Linked DNA regions of Callithrix jacchus. The protein of the gene in region 2 interacts with the protein of the main gene of each other region in a pairwise test. Links are inferred from orthologs where the notes say so. Each region holds a gene or a part of one and is shown on either strand. Other genes may lie near its edges.

Evidence for each region.
Region 1: the proteins of SNCA (region 2) and LAMP2 interact in binary tests that used the Homo sapiens proteins (3 or more experiments, as listed by UniProt). The link is inferred for Callithrix jacchus from reciprocal best matches to the Homo sapiens genes SNCA and LAMP2.
Region 3: the proteins of SNCA (region 2) and BCL2L1 interact in binary tests that used the Homo sapiens proteins (3 or more experiments, as listed by UniProt). The link is inferred for Callithrix jacchus from reciprocal best matches to the Homo sapiens genes SNCA and BCL2L1.
Region 4: the proteins of SNCA (region 2) and ARFGAP1 interact in binary tests that used the Homo sapiens proteins (3 or more experiments, as listed by UniProt). The link is inferred for Callithrix jacchus from reciprocal best matches to the Homo sapiens genes SNCA and ARFGAP1.

What each region holds. Positions count from the first base shown.
Region 1 is NC_133524.1:116,320,249-116,323,810, reverse strand, and holds part of LAMP2 (lysosome-associated membrane glycoprotein 2), read left to right. Parts: intron 1-705; coding exon 706-769; intron 770-1,479; coding exon 1,480-1,644; intron 1,645-3,562. UniProt on the Homo sapiens protein: Lysosomal membrane glycoprotein which plays an important role in lysosome biogenesis, lysosomal pH regulation and autophagy.
Region 2 is NC_133504.1:107,737,758-107,741,941, forward strand, and holds the start of SNCA (alpha-synuclein), read left to right. Parts: upstream 1-1,342; 5' UTR 1,343-1,534; exon of another isoform or gene 1,535-1,656; intron 1,657-1,827; exon of another isoform or gene 1,828-2,262; intron 2,263-2,493; exon of another isoform or gene 2,494-2,911; intron 2,912-3,404; exon of another isoform or gene 3,405-3,552; intron 3,553-3,981; 5' UTR 3,982-4,006; coding exon 4,007-4,127; intron 4,128-4,184. UniProt on the Homo sapiens protein: Neuronal protein that plays several roles in synaptic activity such as regulation of synaptic vesicle trafficking and subsequent neurotransmitter release.
Region 3 is NC_133506.1:7,474,935-7,478,992, forward strand, and holds the start of BCL2L1 (bcl-2-like protein 1), read left to right. Parts: upstream 1-1,228; 5' UTR 1,229-1,457; intron 1,458-1,628; exon of another isoform or gene 1,629-1,721; intron 1,722-2,335; exon of another isoform or gene 2,336-2,588; intron 2,589-2,859; exon of another isoform or gene 2,860-2,877; 5' UTR 2,878-2,985; coding exon 2,986-3,549; intron 3,550-4,058. UniProt on the Homo sapiens protein: Potent inhibitor of cell death. Inhibits activation of caspases. Appears to regulate cell death by blocking the voltage-dependent anion channel (VDAC) by binding to it and preventing the release of the caspase activator, CYC1, from the mitochondrial membrane.
Region 4 is NC_133506.1:58,772,430-58,775,991, forward strand, and holds part of ARFGAP1 (ADP-ribosylation factor GTPase-activating protein 1), read left to right. Parts: intron 1-199; coding exon 200-232; intron 233-1,202; coding exon 1,203-1,232; intron 1,233-2,207; coding exon 2,208-2,264; intron 2,265-2,927; coding exon 2,928-2,987; intron 2,988-3,250; coding exon of another isoform or gene 3,251-3,333; intron 3,334-3,562. UniProt on the Homo sapiens protein: GTPase-activating protein (GAP) for the ADP ribosylation factor 1 (ARF1). Involved in membrane trafficking and /or vesicle transport.

The DNA.
Region 1 (3,562 bases), on a different chromosome or scaffold from region 2:
AATTTGTGATTATGCATATTTTCTAACTGCCTTTATTTATGCTGTTACTCTCTTGAATATCCCTTTTCCTACATTTTTCCTAAGAGAATCCTGCCGAGTTCAAAATGCCTCTTCCGTAAGCTGGCATTACTTTTTCTCCTCCCTTAGTTGGAAGTGATTTCTCTCCTATTTTTATGATTTTTCACTTTCTCTTTTGTAATATGGTTATTTATATGTTTATCTCAGCTTCTCTGGCAGATTGCAAACAGGGTAAAGGCAGGATTGAAGTGTGGTTCATTTTGGTAGCTCCTGGAGTATTCACACTCTGAAATGATAAGAATGACTGGCTGATCGGATGAGTACTTCAGAAAGGTAATAGCAGTGAAAAGGGAGGATTAGGCTGGAGGAGCCCCCTTAAGAGGTTATTGTGATCCAGGCTAGAGGTGGTGAGGGCTCAGCAAGTGACAGGAGGATAAGGGATAAACCTTCAAGTGTCCAAGATCCCCATGACTATACTTTTGCTCCAAAAGTTGGAACAAAATACAGAGGAAAGGGGTTTCTGTTAGATTTTGAGTTCTCTTTTACTTGGTTGCAGTTTATTCTAATGCATGGTTTCTTCTTCTGTGTAATAGTGTTAGATTGATTTTCTTCTGTAGATATTAACTGTATCTGTTATCTGTAGACAGTTGTCGTATGTTGATTAACTGGAAGCTCTTTTTCAAACAGAAAAATGAAAACCGATTCTATCTGAAGGAAGTGAATGTCAGCATGAATTTGGTTAATGGCTCTGGTAAGCAAAGCATTGGCCTGGGGGGAAAAAAAAGTGTGGGTTACCCCAAAGGATTAGAAATCATAATGTTCTTATTACCAAATAGTGCCTTATTTAATGAGACAGAAGATGCTATGTAAAAAGTATACCTTGGTCACACCTTAAAATTAGTAACTTAGAACTATGATGTTCTGTCTTTTCCTGTATCTCATCTTTTCAAAGTATGGTAGATAATAATTAAGGATAGGACTGATTTTTAGACTATAGAAACATCTATAGAAAGATAAGGGAACCTACTGATGGTAAAAATTGCTTTTTGTGGGTTGATCTTGTCCCCCAGGCTCTCATACTTCCCTGAAAAACCCTGAGGACTGTCACTTTTTGTTTGTTTGTTTGAGACAGGGTCTTGCTCTGTGCTCAAGCTAGAGGGCAATGGCGCGACCACAGATTAATCCCAGATTCAAGCCAACCACCCACCTCAGCCTTCCAAGTAGCTGGGACTACAGGTGCACACTATCATGCCCAGCTAATTTTTTTTCTTTGTATGTTTTATAGTGACAGGATTTTGCCATGTTGCCCAGGCTGGTCACGAACTCCTGGGCTCACACTATCTGCCAACCATGGCTTTCCCAAAGTGCTGGAATTACAGGTGTGAGCCAGTGTACCTGGCCCTTTCCCATTTTTGATGTTGATAGGATAAGAAGTCACTAACCTGTTTCTTTTCTTTGAAGTTTTCAGCATTGCAAATAACAATCTCAGCTACTGGGATGCCCCCCTGGGAAGTTCTTATATGTGCAACAAAGAGCAGACTGTTTCAGTGTCTGGAGCATTTCAGATAAATACCTTTGATCTAAGGGTTCAGCCTTTCAATGTGATAGAAGGAAAGTATTCTACAGGTAAGAATCAAGCAAACTTCATTAATAATTTATGTTATTCTGTTGACTGATAGGTAGCTTTTCCTTTGAATCATAGACATTTAAACGTTGAAATAGAGGAACATGAATTCACCAGACGTCTCATAGCCTTGAGCACATTGTGCGACTCTGTATTTAGCTCATCATTTTGCTCAACTGAGATGATTTTTTTTTATCTTAAAATCATTTGCAACGAAGTTCTTAAAGCTAAAAACGGATAGAAGCTTTATTTGAGGTACGGGTTTTAGTTTGTAGGGAAGATGGTACTTGGGAGTAGCAATTTTGAGCATCTTGCCTCTGCTTCTTGGGGCCATCTTCTCACTGGAGAAACATTTTCATACCTGAACGAAAGCAGTTGGGTCTGATTTTGTTAAGACAAAAGATAAAGAGCAGTAGCAAAGCCTCAAATATCATGAACTATGTTTTTGCCAGCCAATATGATCTGAAGAGTTTTCAAAGCATATGCCAGTGTGAATGAGGCTTTTTGAAGATCACTCAGGGCTAATGGTGGTATTTATTAGATTTTTAATGAAACCTTTGTGAAGGGCTCATTATAATGTGTTCATATGAATATGAAAGACATATTTGGCATTACAAGATTAAAATCTGCATGAAGAAGAAAAGTACATAAAGTTCCTTAATTGACTTATCCTTTTAAGCCCATTACCTAAAATTGGGGGTTTGTGGATCACAACTCCATTGAGCAGAGCTATTCAAATCATCCACATCCTTTTTAACCATTAATTCTGTGGTTTGGAAGGAAATGTGGAAGCTGTGTTTAAAAGCAGATATACTGTGAGCCATTCGACCGCTTTTGCAGTGGTGTTGACTACTTAGTCTGACTTGGTTAGATCACAATAAATTGAGGTCTCCACCCTACCATTCTTGTGACTGAAGATGTTAGTTACACTTTTAAAATATTTTCAATAATTAATTTTACCTTTTGCCTGTTTTGCTTATGTACTTCAATTATTTTGATCCTTTACTAGCTTTATTTTTGGACTTTTTATCTGGCTCCCCTTCATTATTCCCCTAATTTTAAGTCCAGATTTGTGTTTACAGTTTAAAATTATTTGCAGTATTAGTATCATCAGTTCAAGCCTTTTATCTAGTCAGCTGTAATAGAGATGAGCTGTGCTCTTTCTCTTAATTTGAAACTTTGGTTTTTATGTACATAGAATTAAAAATATCACACAAAGAGATATGCAGCATTTAATACTGATATTGAATGCATAATCCATTTGTGGAACTAGATTCTTGGCTGTATATAAATACAACGCATAGGTAATACTTGACTGTATGGGGAAAGAAATAGAATTGCAGTAAGGTAGAAGAGTGTTGATTGGATTTTACTGGATCAGACCACTCTCTAGAAATAGAAGAAAATAGCCCCCTTAGGCTGCCCACCCCTGACCAGATAACAAATGTAGTAAGCACACTCAAATTAGTAAGAGGTCCCAGTTTCTTGACTTTGCAGCCACTAAAATCGTATGTTCTAAGTCACGATCTGCAAACTTTTCTGTAAAGTTCCAAACAGTAAGTGTTTTAGGCTTTGGGGCCATATGGTCTCTGTCGCAACTACTCAAATCTGCTATTGTAGCACAAAAACAGCAACACATAAACAGATGACTATGGCTGTGATCCAATAAAACTTTATTTATGGACACTGAAATTTGAATTTTATGTGCTCTCATGTGTCACAAAATATTTTTTGCAACCATTTAAAAATGTAAAAGCCATTTTTAGATCTTGGACCAGATTTGGCCCATGGGCTACAGCTTGCTGACCCCCTACTCTAAAGGGACTCCAGAGCCAGCCTGGCTATTCTCATCATATGATACCTTCCTGATACTGTTTCCACTTTCCCAAAAGACAATTCACTGTACCACTGAGAGCTAAT
Region 2 (4,184 bases):
CATTGGTCTGCTAATAAGACCTGAAATATCTGTCATTTTATTTATCTCTTTGACTTAAAGCACCAGGTCTCAAGGAGGTCACTGTTAAACTATAAATTTGTCATATGAAATAATATATTAAATAATTGTTGTAATAGTCTATTGACGTACTAGCTGTAAGGAGGCACAATGGAAAACATATACTATTAACAGTAATACAAAGAAACAATAAAAAGCAATAAAAAACAAACCACTGATTCATGCAACAACATGAATGAACCTCACAAATATTATGCTGAGTAAAAGAGGTCACACAGATATGAAACAAAGTTCGTACTATGTGATTAGATTTTTATGAAATTTGAGAACATGCACATGAAAGGTACAAGGTAACTGTCTGGAGTGATGAAAATGTCCTGAATCTTCAAAATGGTGTGGGTTACACTAAAGAATGGCTTTTTCAAAGTGACTTAAAGGGACACAACATCTGAGCATTTCACTAGGTGTAAATTATACTGCAATTTAAAATAATTATCTAATGATATTGTGGTTATTTTTAAACAGTTTCTAAATTTTGTGGATGCATACTGAATGTTTACAGCTGAAAAGATATATACAAAGCTTGAATTTGGTGACAAAAAACAGGGAGTATTTGTACTGATAAAGTTAGTGGACATATGGATGAGACATGATCAGCCATGCATTGAAAAACATGTAAAAGTTGGGTGATATTCACATGGGAGTCCTTCATTGTGTCTACTTTCGTGTGTTTGAATATTTCCCATAACAAGAAGTTGAGAATAGATCGGTCACCTGAGTTCACCCCTTCATTTACAAAAAAGAAAACTGGAAACAGAAGAACATAACTTGTTCACGGTCTCAAAGCCAGACAGCATACTAGCTCCCAAATCCAACCTTTTTGCTGTGGTGGTAGGCAAACACACAATATTAATGTGAGCTACTGCATTATGGAAAGTCTGCTTTTCCAAAGGGCAGACCAAGAGTTCAAGGAAGTGCTTAAGTAATAAATATCTATAATCTTGCTTTCATGCTCTGCTATTTTCCACTGAACACATATGCATTATCTTCTATATGTCTTTTATGTATAATCATTTGCTTCCTGTTCCTTGTGGTTTTAAAGTTGTTTTTTATGTTTAAATTTGATTTTACTCAAATTTCAGAACCAAAATGAGCGCAAGAATCAAACAAAACATTACTTTCTATAAATATAAAAACAATTTTTGCAAAACCATACAGCAAAAACGAGTTGTTTCCCCCCCCCCCCCCCACCTTTTCCAGGGCTTAACTAATCTTCCGAATCCAGGCACAGAAAGCAAAGGCTTTCTGCTAGTGGGAGGAGCTTGCTTCTCCATTCTGGTGTGATCTAGGAACAGCTGTCTTCCTTCCAGCTCTGAAAGAGGTGAAAATGTGTTAAGCGATGCAAAAATTGTCTTGAAGTTCGCGTTTGTATGTCTGTGTGTTTGAGCGTGTTGGGGGTGAGGGAGACAAAAGGGGGTGTCAGTTCTGAGGGCAACGAGAATCAGAAGTCAGAAAGGTGAGTGGTGTGTAGCATTCTCCTTTCAGAAGGGGCTGAAGAAGAAATTGTATATGATGGTCGGGTAGTGGAGATCACGCTGGATTTGCCTCCTAGATAGACCACGCGCTTGGGTCTGCAAAGTAAGTCCCATTTCTAGAGCGAAAAGCCTTAGGACTGCTTGTTTTAGACGGCTGGGGAATATTTATTCCTTGTTCCACTGATGGGAAAATCAGCGTCTGGCAGGCGCTGATTGGTGGAAAGGAAAATGGTGATAGTGGGGTGGGAAGAGGATTTGCTGAGCCTCCTCCTGCGTCCTTAACCTGTAACTCTTCCTTAGTAGTCTCCGCTTCACCTGCGGGACCCTTTCGGGCTCGTCCTAGATTAAGAGCAAACGGAAATCTTGGGGATATTTGAACTAAAGCGACCTTTAACGTTATAGCGGACGACGGCGAGTAAATTTCAGCGATACGAGGGCAAAGTGCTCTCGGCTGTGCCGTGTGAGCAGCCTCCTGCGCTGCTGTTTCCTCCAGCAGCCCCCCAAGAAATAGGCTCTGCTCTAGGTGGTCGACCCTCAGGGCCCCGACTCTCCCAGGTCGACTCTGACGCGGTGCAGGGGATGGTCCCCAGGAGGACCTGGGGGGAAAGGCGGGGACAGGAAGAGAGGGGAATGGGAAAGACGGAGAGGCGTCAGCCCAACCCCAACCCCTCGCGAGCGCCAAAAGAGTGCCCGTGACCCTGAACTTGAGGTAAGGCGCGAAGGCACCCCCACTTTCCCGATTTGCGCGGTCAGGCAGGCGGCTGGAGTTGATAGTTCACCCTCCGCCCCCTGCCCCATCCCCATCCGAGAAAGGGAACGGAGCAGCGCACGCGGCAGGGAAACCGCGAGCGCCGAGAGAGGGCGGGGAGAGGCGCTGACAAATCAGCGCTGGGGGCGGAGAGGCGAGGAGAAGCTGGAGGAGGACCAGGCGGAGGACGACGGCGACGACCAGAAGGGGCCCGAGAGAGGGGGCGAGCGACCGAGCGCCGCGACGCGGGAGTGAGGTGCGTGCGGGCTGCAGCGCAGACCCCAGCCCGGCCCCGCGGAGAGCGTCCTGGGCGCGCCCTCCCGCCTTCCCTTCAAGCCTCCCTTTCTCTTCATCCTCGTGAGCGAGGGACTGGGCGTGGCCATTCGACGACAGGTTAGCGGATTTGCCTCCCACGCCCCCAGCCTAGCGTCGCCGAGTTGTGCTGACGGCGGCCTCCTCTGGGGACCGTCCCCCTCCCGGTGCCGCCTCCGCCTTTCCTATGCGCTCCTTTCCCTCCCTCTTCCCTATTCAATATTATTTGGGAATTGTTTAAAAATTTTTTAAGGGAGGTGGGGAGGAATCGGAGTTGTGGAGAAGCAGAGGGACTCTGGTAAGTACCTGTAGATCTAAACGTATGTCTTTGGAAATCCCGGAGAACGCCAGGTGGGAGAGAAGTGGTCGTGGGCGCCGGGAGGGGGTGGTGCTGCAGTGAGGATCCGCTGTGCCAGGTCTCTGGGCGATGAGTACTTGCCCTTTCGGGAGCCTAAGGAAAGAGACTGGACCTGGCTTTCCTCCTGCTTCCGATATTTGCTTCTCCTCAAAGGCTGAGAGGTCAGGCATTCCCCAGGATCCGCTTTTCCCCGGGAAACCCGAGGATGCTCCATGGAGCCTGAGCATCCAACTTTTATTTCTCTCTTACCCGAAATTCCTCTGCCCGCTCTCTCGGTTTTTCTCTGTAAAGTAAGCAAGCTGCATTTGGCAAATAATGAAATGAAAGTGCAGGGAGGCCAAGTCAACAGGTGGTAAAGGGTTAACAAGTGCAGGCTCGCGGTCCGCTGGGTGGAGGCTAAGAACGCCTCCTCAGGTGGCTGGTGCGGGCCTCCAGACCGCCGACCGCCGGCGGGTGTGAGCGGCGCCTGCTCTGGATAGATAGCTGAGGGCGGGCAGGGGTTGGGGGGTGGCCAATGTTCTTGTGGATTAGAACCAGCGCCCCTGGGCTCGCTGTTTGCCTGAGATTCAACCACACCCAGAGTGAGTAGTTAGTTCTCTTCCCCATGCTTCTCCGTCATCAACCCGGTAGCCTTATTCTGGGATTCACGTTAAGGATGCCCCTGACCTTAAGCTCCAGCTTCCAGGCTTCTAACTCATACTGTTACCCTTTAGACCCTGGGAAGTTGAAAAAGGGTGAATCTTTTCTTGCAACTCCACTTCTGAAATGCAGTAATAACAACTCAGAGGATTCATCTTAATACATGGTTAGGTGGCTAGACTTTTACTAGCCAAGATGGATGGGAGATGCTAAATTTTTAATGCCAGAGCTAAAAATGTCTGCTTTGTCCAATGGTTAAATGAGTGTACACTTAAAAGAGTCTCACACTTTGGAGGGTTTCTAATAATTTTTCAGTGTTTTTTTTTTTTCCTCAAAAAGTTCTCATTCAAAGTGTATTTTATGTTCTCCAGTGTGGTGTAAAGGAATTCATTAGCCATGGATGTATTCATGAAAGGACTTTCAAAGGCCAAGGAGGGAGTTGTGGCTGCTGCTGAGAAAACCAAACAGGGTGTGGCAGAAGCAGCAGGAAAGACAAAAGAGGGTGTTCTCTATGTAGGTAGGTAAACCTCAGATGTCACTTTGGTGTTTGCTCATGACTGATGGGTCAGGATAA
Region 3 (4,058 bases), on a different chromosome or scaffold from region 2:
CTGGGCATGGTGGTGCGTACCTGTAATTAATCCCAGCTACTAAGGAGGGTGAGGCAGGAGAATTGCCTAAACCCACGAGGCGGAGGTTGTGGTGAGCCGAGATCGTGCCATTGCACTCCAGCCTGGGTAACGAGCAAAACTCTGTCTCAAAAAAAAAAAAAGAAAATTACCGTGTGTGTGTGTGTGTGTGTGTGTGTGTTTTGAGACAGGGCGATCATTGCTTATTGCAGCCTCTACTGCTCACTGTAGCCTTGACTTCTCAGGCTCTAGTGATCCTCCTACCTCAGCCACCCCAATAGTTGGGATAACCAGCACACACCACCGTGCCTGGCTAATTTTTTTTTTTTTTTTTTTTTTTGTAGAGATGGGGTCTAACTATGTTACCCAGGCTGGTATTTTCTTAGTTTACTATCTCTCTCCAACTCTAGGGCACAAATCTCCATGAAAACAGGGGCCATGTTGTTCCTCTTATCTTCAGCAACTTAAATATTTGTCGAATGAATTTATGCAGCCTATTCTATGGGCCATACACTGTCCTACGGACTTTTTTATTTCAGACGGAGTCTCGCTCTGTCACCCAGGCTGGAGTGCAGTAGCACGATCTCGGCTCTGCAACCTCTGCCTCCCGTGTTCAAGCGATTCTCCTGCCTCACCCTCCCGAGTAGCTGGGATTACAAGCATTCACCATCATACCAGGCTAATTTTTTGTATTTTTAGTAGAGATGGAATTTAGTAGAGTTGGGGTTTCACCACGTTGGCTAGGCAGGTCTGAACTCCTGACCTCAGGTGATTCGCCTGCCTTGGCTTCCCAAAGTGCTGGGATTACAGGCATGAGCCACCGCGCCCGGCCTGCCCTATAGACTTTGCAATTAATAACTATTTTAATCATAATAGCTCAACGAGAGAGGTTGGTACCATTGCCCATTTTACAGTTGAGGACATTAAAGCACAGAGCAATTGAGAAACTTGCCTAACTAGCAGAGTTAGAACCCAGACAAAGTGCTTAACCACAAAGCGATGCTTTTTCTATATATAAACCGACGGACAGATGAAATAGCCTGATTGTCTGATGACTGACTGAATGAATGAATAAATGAAAATCTGGTTATAAATGATTCTTTGCGTCTCTCGATTCCCTGGATCTACCGCAAGGAGGCGATCTCCCCCCGGTCCTGATGCCAGTCACTTTAGGCGCGCACTCCCTTTGCGTCTCGGGCTCGCGCGCGTTGCCGCGGCACCGGAAGTGACTGAGCTTGCAAGTTCCCCTGTCTCTTCAGGGGAAACTGAGGCCGGCTTGTTCGGGAGAGACGGCGCGAGCAGTCAGCCAGGTAGGCCGGCAGCTAGGTAGGCCGGCCCGGGTCCGCGGCGCGGAACTCGGCCGCGAAGAGCTCTAGCGTCTAAAAGTTACCAGGCCGACCAAGGGGGATGTGGTCCCCCACGGCTCGCGGGGCTCGCAGGTGAGAGCGCCGCCTCCCCTGTGCGTGACAGCCGCTACGCCCAATGGGAGCCTTCGCCGTTTCGCTTCCTTGCCGGCTGGGTTCGCTGATTGGCTGCACTGGGGCGGGCCGCCGGGGGTGAGACCCCTCCTCCCAGGAAGGTCTAGGGGGCGCCCCTGGGGGAGGGCGGTTGCCTAGCAACGGGGCGGTGGCTCCGCGGGTACCAGGCCTAGAGAGCGCGAGAAGCCGCGAGGCCGGAGCCCGCCCACCCTGGGCTCCGGAAAGGTGCAGCCCCCGGCCCCAGAGCCCTCCTGGGGGCGCTAGGAAGCCGCTTTGGGCCTGTCCCCAGGAAAACGTGGTCTCAGCTGTGGGGGCCGTCGAGCAGGCCTCGACCCCTCTTTCTGACCCGAGGAGAGGCCCAGCGCCTCATCCTCACCCCGTCTTTGTGCAGGGCGCCGGCAGCCATTGTGTCCGGGCGGGGAATGGAGGACCCGGCAATCCCCCACCGCCACGTTCAGGGCCTTTGGGGAATTCAAAGAAAACCAGCGGCATTTGTGGGGGGTCTCCGGCCTTCAGCCTCCCGGACACGCCTGGCGGTGGCCTTCCCGAAGTCAGATCGCAGATCCGAGGCAGTTTCCCCGTCCCTGCGTCCCTCATCGAAACCTTGAACCCCATTGAGAAGTCCCTTCAGGGTTTCGGACGTCTCCACCTCACCCTGGACTGGTGCTTAAATAGAAAAAGGAAAGAAAAAAAAGAAAGAAAGAAAACCTAGCTAAATTCTACCAGCCACCTCCAGGAGAGTTCTCCTGGCTCCCAGTAGGAGGCGGAGAGCCAAGGGGCGTGCAAGAGCGAGGGGGCTGGGCTCCCGGGTGGCAGGAGGCCGCGGCTGCAGAGCGGCCGCCCTCGATCCCGGCGATGGAGGAGGAAGCAAGCGAGGGGGCTGGTTCCTGAGCTTCGCAATTCCTGTGTCGCCTTCTGGGCTCCCAGCCTGCGGGTCGCATGATCCCTGTAGCCGGAGCTGGGTTTTTTGCCAGCCGCCGCGAGGCCGGCTGAGTTACCGGCATCCCGGCCGCCACCTCCTCTCCCGACCTGTGATACAAAAGATCTTCCGGGGGCTGCACCTGCCTGCCTTTGCTTAAGGCAGATTTGAATGTAGGTGGTGCGGGGGAGGGGGAGTCGCGGGGGACTGCCCAGGGGGTGACTTTCCGAGGAAGACATTTCGGAGAAGAGGGGGTGGCTGGGGTAGAAAAGGCTGGTGAGAGATTCAGAGCCCACTCTTGGTGTTTTCGATTTGACTTAATTGAAGTATCTTGGAACCTAGACTTCCTAAGAGCCACAAAGAAACCAGTTTTGGTACCTGGAGGGAGAATGGGATGTTTAGGGTAAATGGCATGCATATTAATTTTTTTTTTTTTTCCTGAAGCTCTTTCTCTCTCTTCAGAATCTTATCTTGGCTTTGGATCTTAGAAGAGAATCACTAACCAGAGACCAGACTCAGTGAGCAGGTGTTTTGGACAATGGACTGGTTGAGCCCATCCCTATTATAAAAATGTCTCAGAGCAACCGGGAGCTGGTGGTTGACTTTCTCTCCTACAAGCTTTCCCAGAAAGGATACAGCTGGAGTCAGTTTAGTGATGTGGAAGAGAACAGGACTGAGGCCCCAGAAGGGACTGATTCGGAGATGGAGACCCCCAGTGCCATCAATGGCAACCCATCCTGGCACCTGGCGGACAGCCCAGTGGTGAATGGAGCCACGGGCCACAGCAGCAGTTTGGATGCCCGGGAGGTGATCCCCATGGCAGCAGTAAAGCAAGCACTGAGGGAGGCAGGCGACGAGTTTGAACTGCGGTACCGGCGGGCATTTAGTGACCTGACATCCCAGCTCCACATCACCCCCGGGACAGCGTATCAGAGCTTTGAACAGGTAGTGAACGAACTCTTCCGGGATGGGGTAAACTGGGGTCGCATTGTGGCCTTTTTCTCCTTCGGCGGGGCACTGTGCGTGGAAAGCGTAGACAAGGAGATGCAGGTATTGGTGAGTCGGATCGCAGCTTGGATGGCCACTTACCTGAATGACCACCTAGAGCCTTGGATCCAGGAGAACGGCGGCTGGGTAAGAACCAAGCCCCTTGTGTGTCCTTTTTCTTTGGCCTCTGGTCAGAGATCCCCAACAGCCCTTCTTCTGTATCTCTTTCTGTTGTGTTGGGTGATTGTTGGAGATGTTGATAGTTGAGGAGACCTGACTGGTCTCATTTCACAAAATAATCCTGTGCTTCAAAGATCAGGCAGCTTTCACTCTGGTCACCCCCAGGACTCCACTCTTCCATACTTGTGTTCCAGTTTCTCAGCAAAGAAAACTATAGCCTATGTGTTCATTAAGTCCCTAACCTGTGAGACTAGGAAGTTAGGTCAGTGTTTCCCTTAACTTATACAATAGTTCACATGCAAAGGGGTGATGAGTATAATGCCTAGAGATGATGGGCATCAGTGACCCATAGACCTCTCCATCTGTTCCCCGCAGGGCATCTCAGTCCTATCCTGGGCTTCTCTCCCCCAAATCATGTTCCCTTTATTTCAAAGTTTGCATGTGTGGCACTCTCCCCGCAGACTAGGGCATGGCCA
Region 4 (3,562 bases), on a different chromosome or scaffold from region 2:
TGGGCATCTCAGAGCTAAGGGTCGCTTCAGAGCTGCTGGCAGCCTGGGGGCCACTGGGAGACAGTCCTGGAACTGAGAGTCCGTGGGCCCTGAGGAAGGAAGCTTGGCAGGTGGTGTTAAGCTGTTGGCTCCGTCCGTGTGTTTCATTTTAGGCTACAGTGTTAACACTGTCAAGCCCTGTCTGTGTTTTCTGTTTTAGGCTACAAAATTTGGATCCCAAGCAAGTCAGAAGGTAACAGAGGAGAAGCTTCTGCACCCTATCCTGAGCCTCTGACATCATGTGCAGCGCCCAGAGCTGCCTGGTTCCCTCTTCCCAGGCCGCGTGCTCAGGGCTGAGGGCCCAGCATAGCAGGGGTGTTTCCAGCATGTTGCTCCCTGACTCGGCCCCTCTTCATGCCAGAGTGGCTGCCTCATGGGCCTGTTGAGGGCCTTGGGGCCAAACTCTCCACTGTTACTGGCACCTGGTGCTGGTGTGTGGCCACTTTGCGGCCGAGCACCTTGTTGGGAGCAGGACTGCCCAGCTTGGCAGATGGCCTACACTGGCGGTGGCTGCTCAGCCGGCAGGGGCGTTGCGGGTGGTGCTGTGCCGGCAGCACCCAGGATGCGTCTGTACTCGGGGGCCATGGAGCGTCCCTTTGCCCTGGCCAGGACATGCCCTGGTTGTAGGTGGTGTGGTCTTGGGCCTTTGTATATCCGTATTCTTTAGGATGTGAGTGGCGGCCCCACAGTCCCCACTTGGTGGTCAGGGCTGCGGTCTGGCTGTCCTGAGGGTCAGAGTCACCCAGGAGGCAGTGGCCACGTGAGGCCCACCACGAAAGCCAAAACTGCTGTATGTGTTTTTTTAGGACACACTCTTGCTCCCAGGGGGAGGAGTCTATTCTCACGAGGTGCCCGTCTGTCCCCCCATGGCCTGTAGCACTCCTTTCTCTCTGAGGGAGTCTTCTGTGTGGCCACCCCCGGCTGTAGGGGCTTTGCCACGGCCCCCAGGCTCCTGAGCCGCAATCAGTCACGCAGTTTCTGAGCGTGGTGGTCAGGTCCAGGGCAGGGAGTGGTGGCTCCCCGTCATGTTGCTGAGACACCCCCCCGCCCCCTGTGCTGCCTTATCGATGCAGCACCACGTGGCGGGTTCGCAGGTGCTCTGAGTTACTAATGCCACCCTCACCTTGCTCTCTCCTCACCTGTTGCCTTGCTGCCTGGTAAAGTTTTGGGGTCACAAGCAGCAGCCGGAGCCGGTAAAGCCCGCATCTGCTTATGCATGGCGTCTATGTCTCCGCCGAGAATGCGCTTGGCTCCCGCCGCCCCTCCTGCGTGCTGCCCCTGTCTCGTGTTGCCTCACATGTGCGCACGCGCAGACCCTCTCCCGGCCTTGGGCCGTGGCTCTCCAGGATCTGCGTCAGGCTTGCTGGTGTGTGCCTGTCACCCCAGTACCACTGCACTCCAGCCTGGGCAAAATAATGAGACCTCGTCTCCAAAAAACACGGACCCTGACCCAGGCTTGCCGCCAGGAGGCGCTGAACGCGGGGGGGAGGGTGTGGGCAGCTGGCACTGGGCATGAAGCTGCTGCTGAGCAGGGTTTCCAGGCCGTGCTGCCCTCCCTGGAACTTATTGCAGAGGAGGATCTTTGCTCCGTGACGAGTCCTTCCCCTATGGTCTTTGATCTGCGCTTCTCCCTGCGCAGAGGTCTTGGGGAGAGGAGGCCTCACCCCACATCCACAGGTGGCCCTGTGGCCATCATCCCCAAGTGACTCGGGATCAGGAGGGGCTGAGCTTTCTCAGCAGCTTCTTTCCATGGCCCCAGCCTCCCTGCCTTCTTTCCTGTGGGGGAAGGAAGACGAGGCATCCCAGGTCAGCCTGGGGTGGCCACAGCTGCTGTTGCTTCTGCTTGAGGTGCATGGGGCATGTCCTCCCCGGCCCAGCCCCGCTGGCTGCATGGCGGCGCATGAGGGAGACCCCCAGAGGGAGCTCCCTGTGTCCTTGAGGGCCCTTCTGCGAGAATTGGGGGCACGGTCTTCGCTGACTATATGTTGGAGGCTGACTATATGTTGGGGGTTGTGTGCAAAGCCCTGTTTCCTGCCTCCTGGGCTTGTGCCCTGCTGCCTTCCCCTGCTGGCGAAGCTCCCGCTGCCCTTTGCTGGCCTGGGCTGCCGCTGTCAACCCGTCTCCCCCGCGGAGTTGCCATCAGGGTCACATGACTTCCCTTCCTACAGGCGTCCGAGCTGGGCCATAGCCTGAACGAGAACGTCCTCAAACCTGCTCAGGAGAAGGTAATGGGGCAGCTCCGAGGGGTTGATGTGCTGCTTGTACCCAGCGCCCTTCACTTGGGGGTGTGGGTGTGTTGGGGGCATCAGGGTTGGTTTGTCCAGCAGCTGGCACTCAGGCCCAACCTCACACCCCACGTCTCTAGCACAGGTGTCCTCCTCAGGCTGGGTGCCTCTCGGAACCTCCAGCTGATCTCTTCCCCTGGCCTAGGGCCTCCCTCACAGGCCCCCAGCTCCTTCCTTTCCTCCGCCTCACCCCCTAGAGCTGGCCCCAGTGCTGTGCACAGAGGAGGCTCTGTTGTGGGAGTGACACGCGCCGTCCTCGGGTCTGACTGGGATACGTGGGGGACCCACCTGGGGAAGCATGGACCATCCTCGGGTCTGACTGGGACACGCAGGGGACACACCTGGGGCAGCATGGACAGTCCTCAGGTCACTTTGTCAGCAGTGCCTGGCGGGGGCCACTTCTGCAGGTGCCAGGCCTGGCAGTGATGTGGTCTCTTGATGCTGGAATCACTTTGGGGCCAGTGTAGAACTTTCTGGGCTCAGCCCAACAGCTGTCCACGCCCTTGTTTCGGGTGCCCTCACCCTGGGGACTCCCTGCATTTCAGAAGCTTTAGGCTTTAGTCTCTTCCGCCCCCACTAATGCCGCTATCTTAACCCATGCAGGTGAAGGAGGGAAAGATTTTTGATGATGTGTCCAGTGGGGTCTCTCAGTTGGCATCCAAGGTAGGGAGCCTGCCAGAGGTGCAGGCACGGCTGAAGCCAGTTTCCATATCCATGGCCCTGGGCACGAGAGCAGGGGCTCTCTGAGCAGGCCCCAGCCTGACCCAGCCCACCTCAGCAGTGGCCCCATCCTCTGAGATGGAAGGAGGGCTGCCCGGCCTGACAGCCAGAGGGATATGGAAACAGCTTGGCCCGCTGCCACCCAGCCAGCCACTAACTGTCCCTTCCACTCTTCCCTTGCTGCTGCTGGCCTTTTCCTCGGTAAGTGCCGGCGCCGTCCTCGCCGTCTTCCGTCTGCTGCTCTGCGGGCCGGTCGGGGTCTGCGTTTTGTCCTGTTTACTGGCGTGAGGTACTCTGCAGATGGGGAGGGAAGAGCAGGCTCTACCCCCTCCGCTGTGTGTGTGTAGGTGCTCCTGAGGTCTGTGCACGCGGCTGTCCTTGCTGCCGCATCCCACATGCACCCCGCGCTACTATGGAGTGTCCGTATGCGTCTCTGTCTGTATGAGTGCACCAGGCACCCCTTGCTTCTGGATTTTACCTGGGCCTTCTCAGCCAGTCGGTGTGCACTGGCTTGCGTG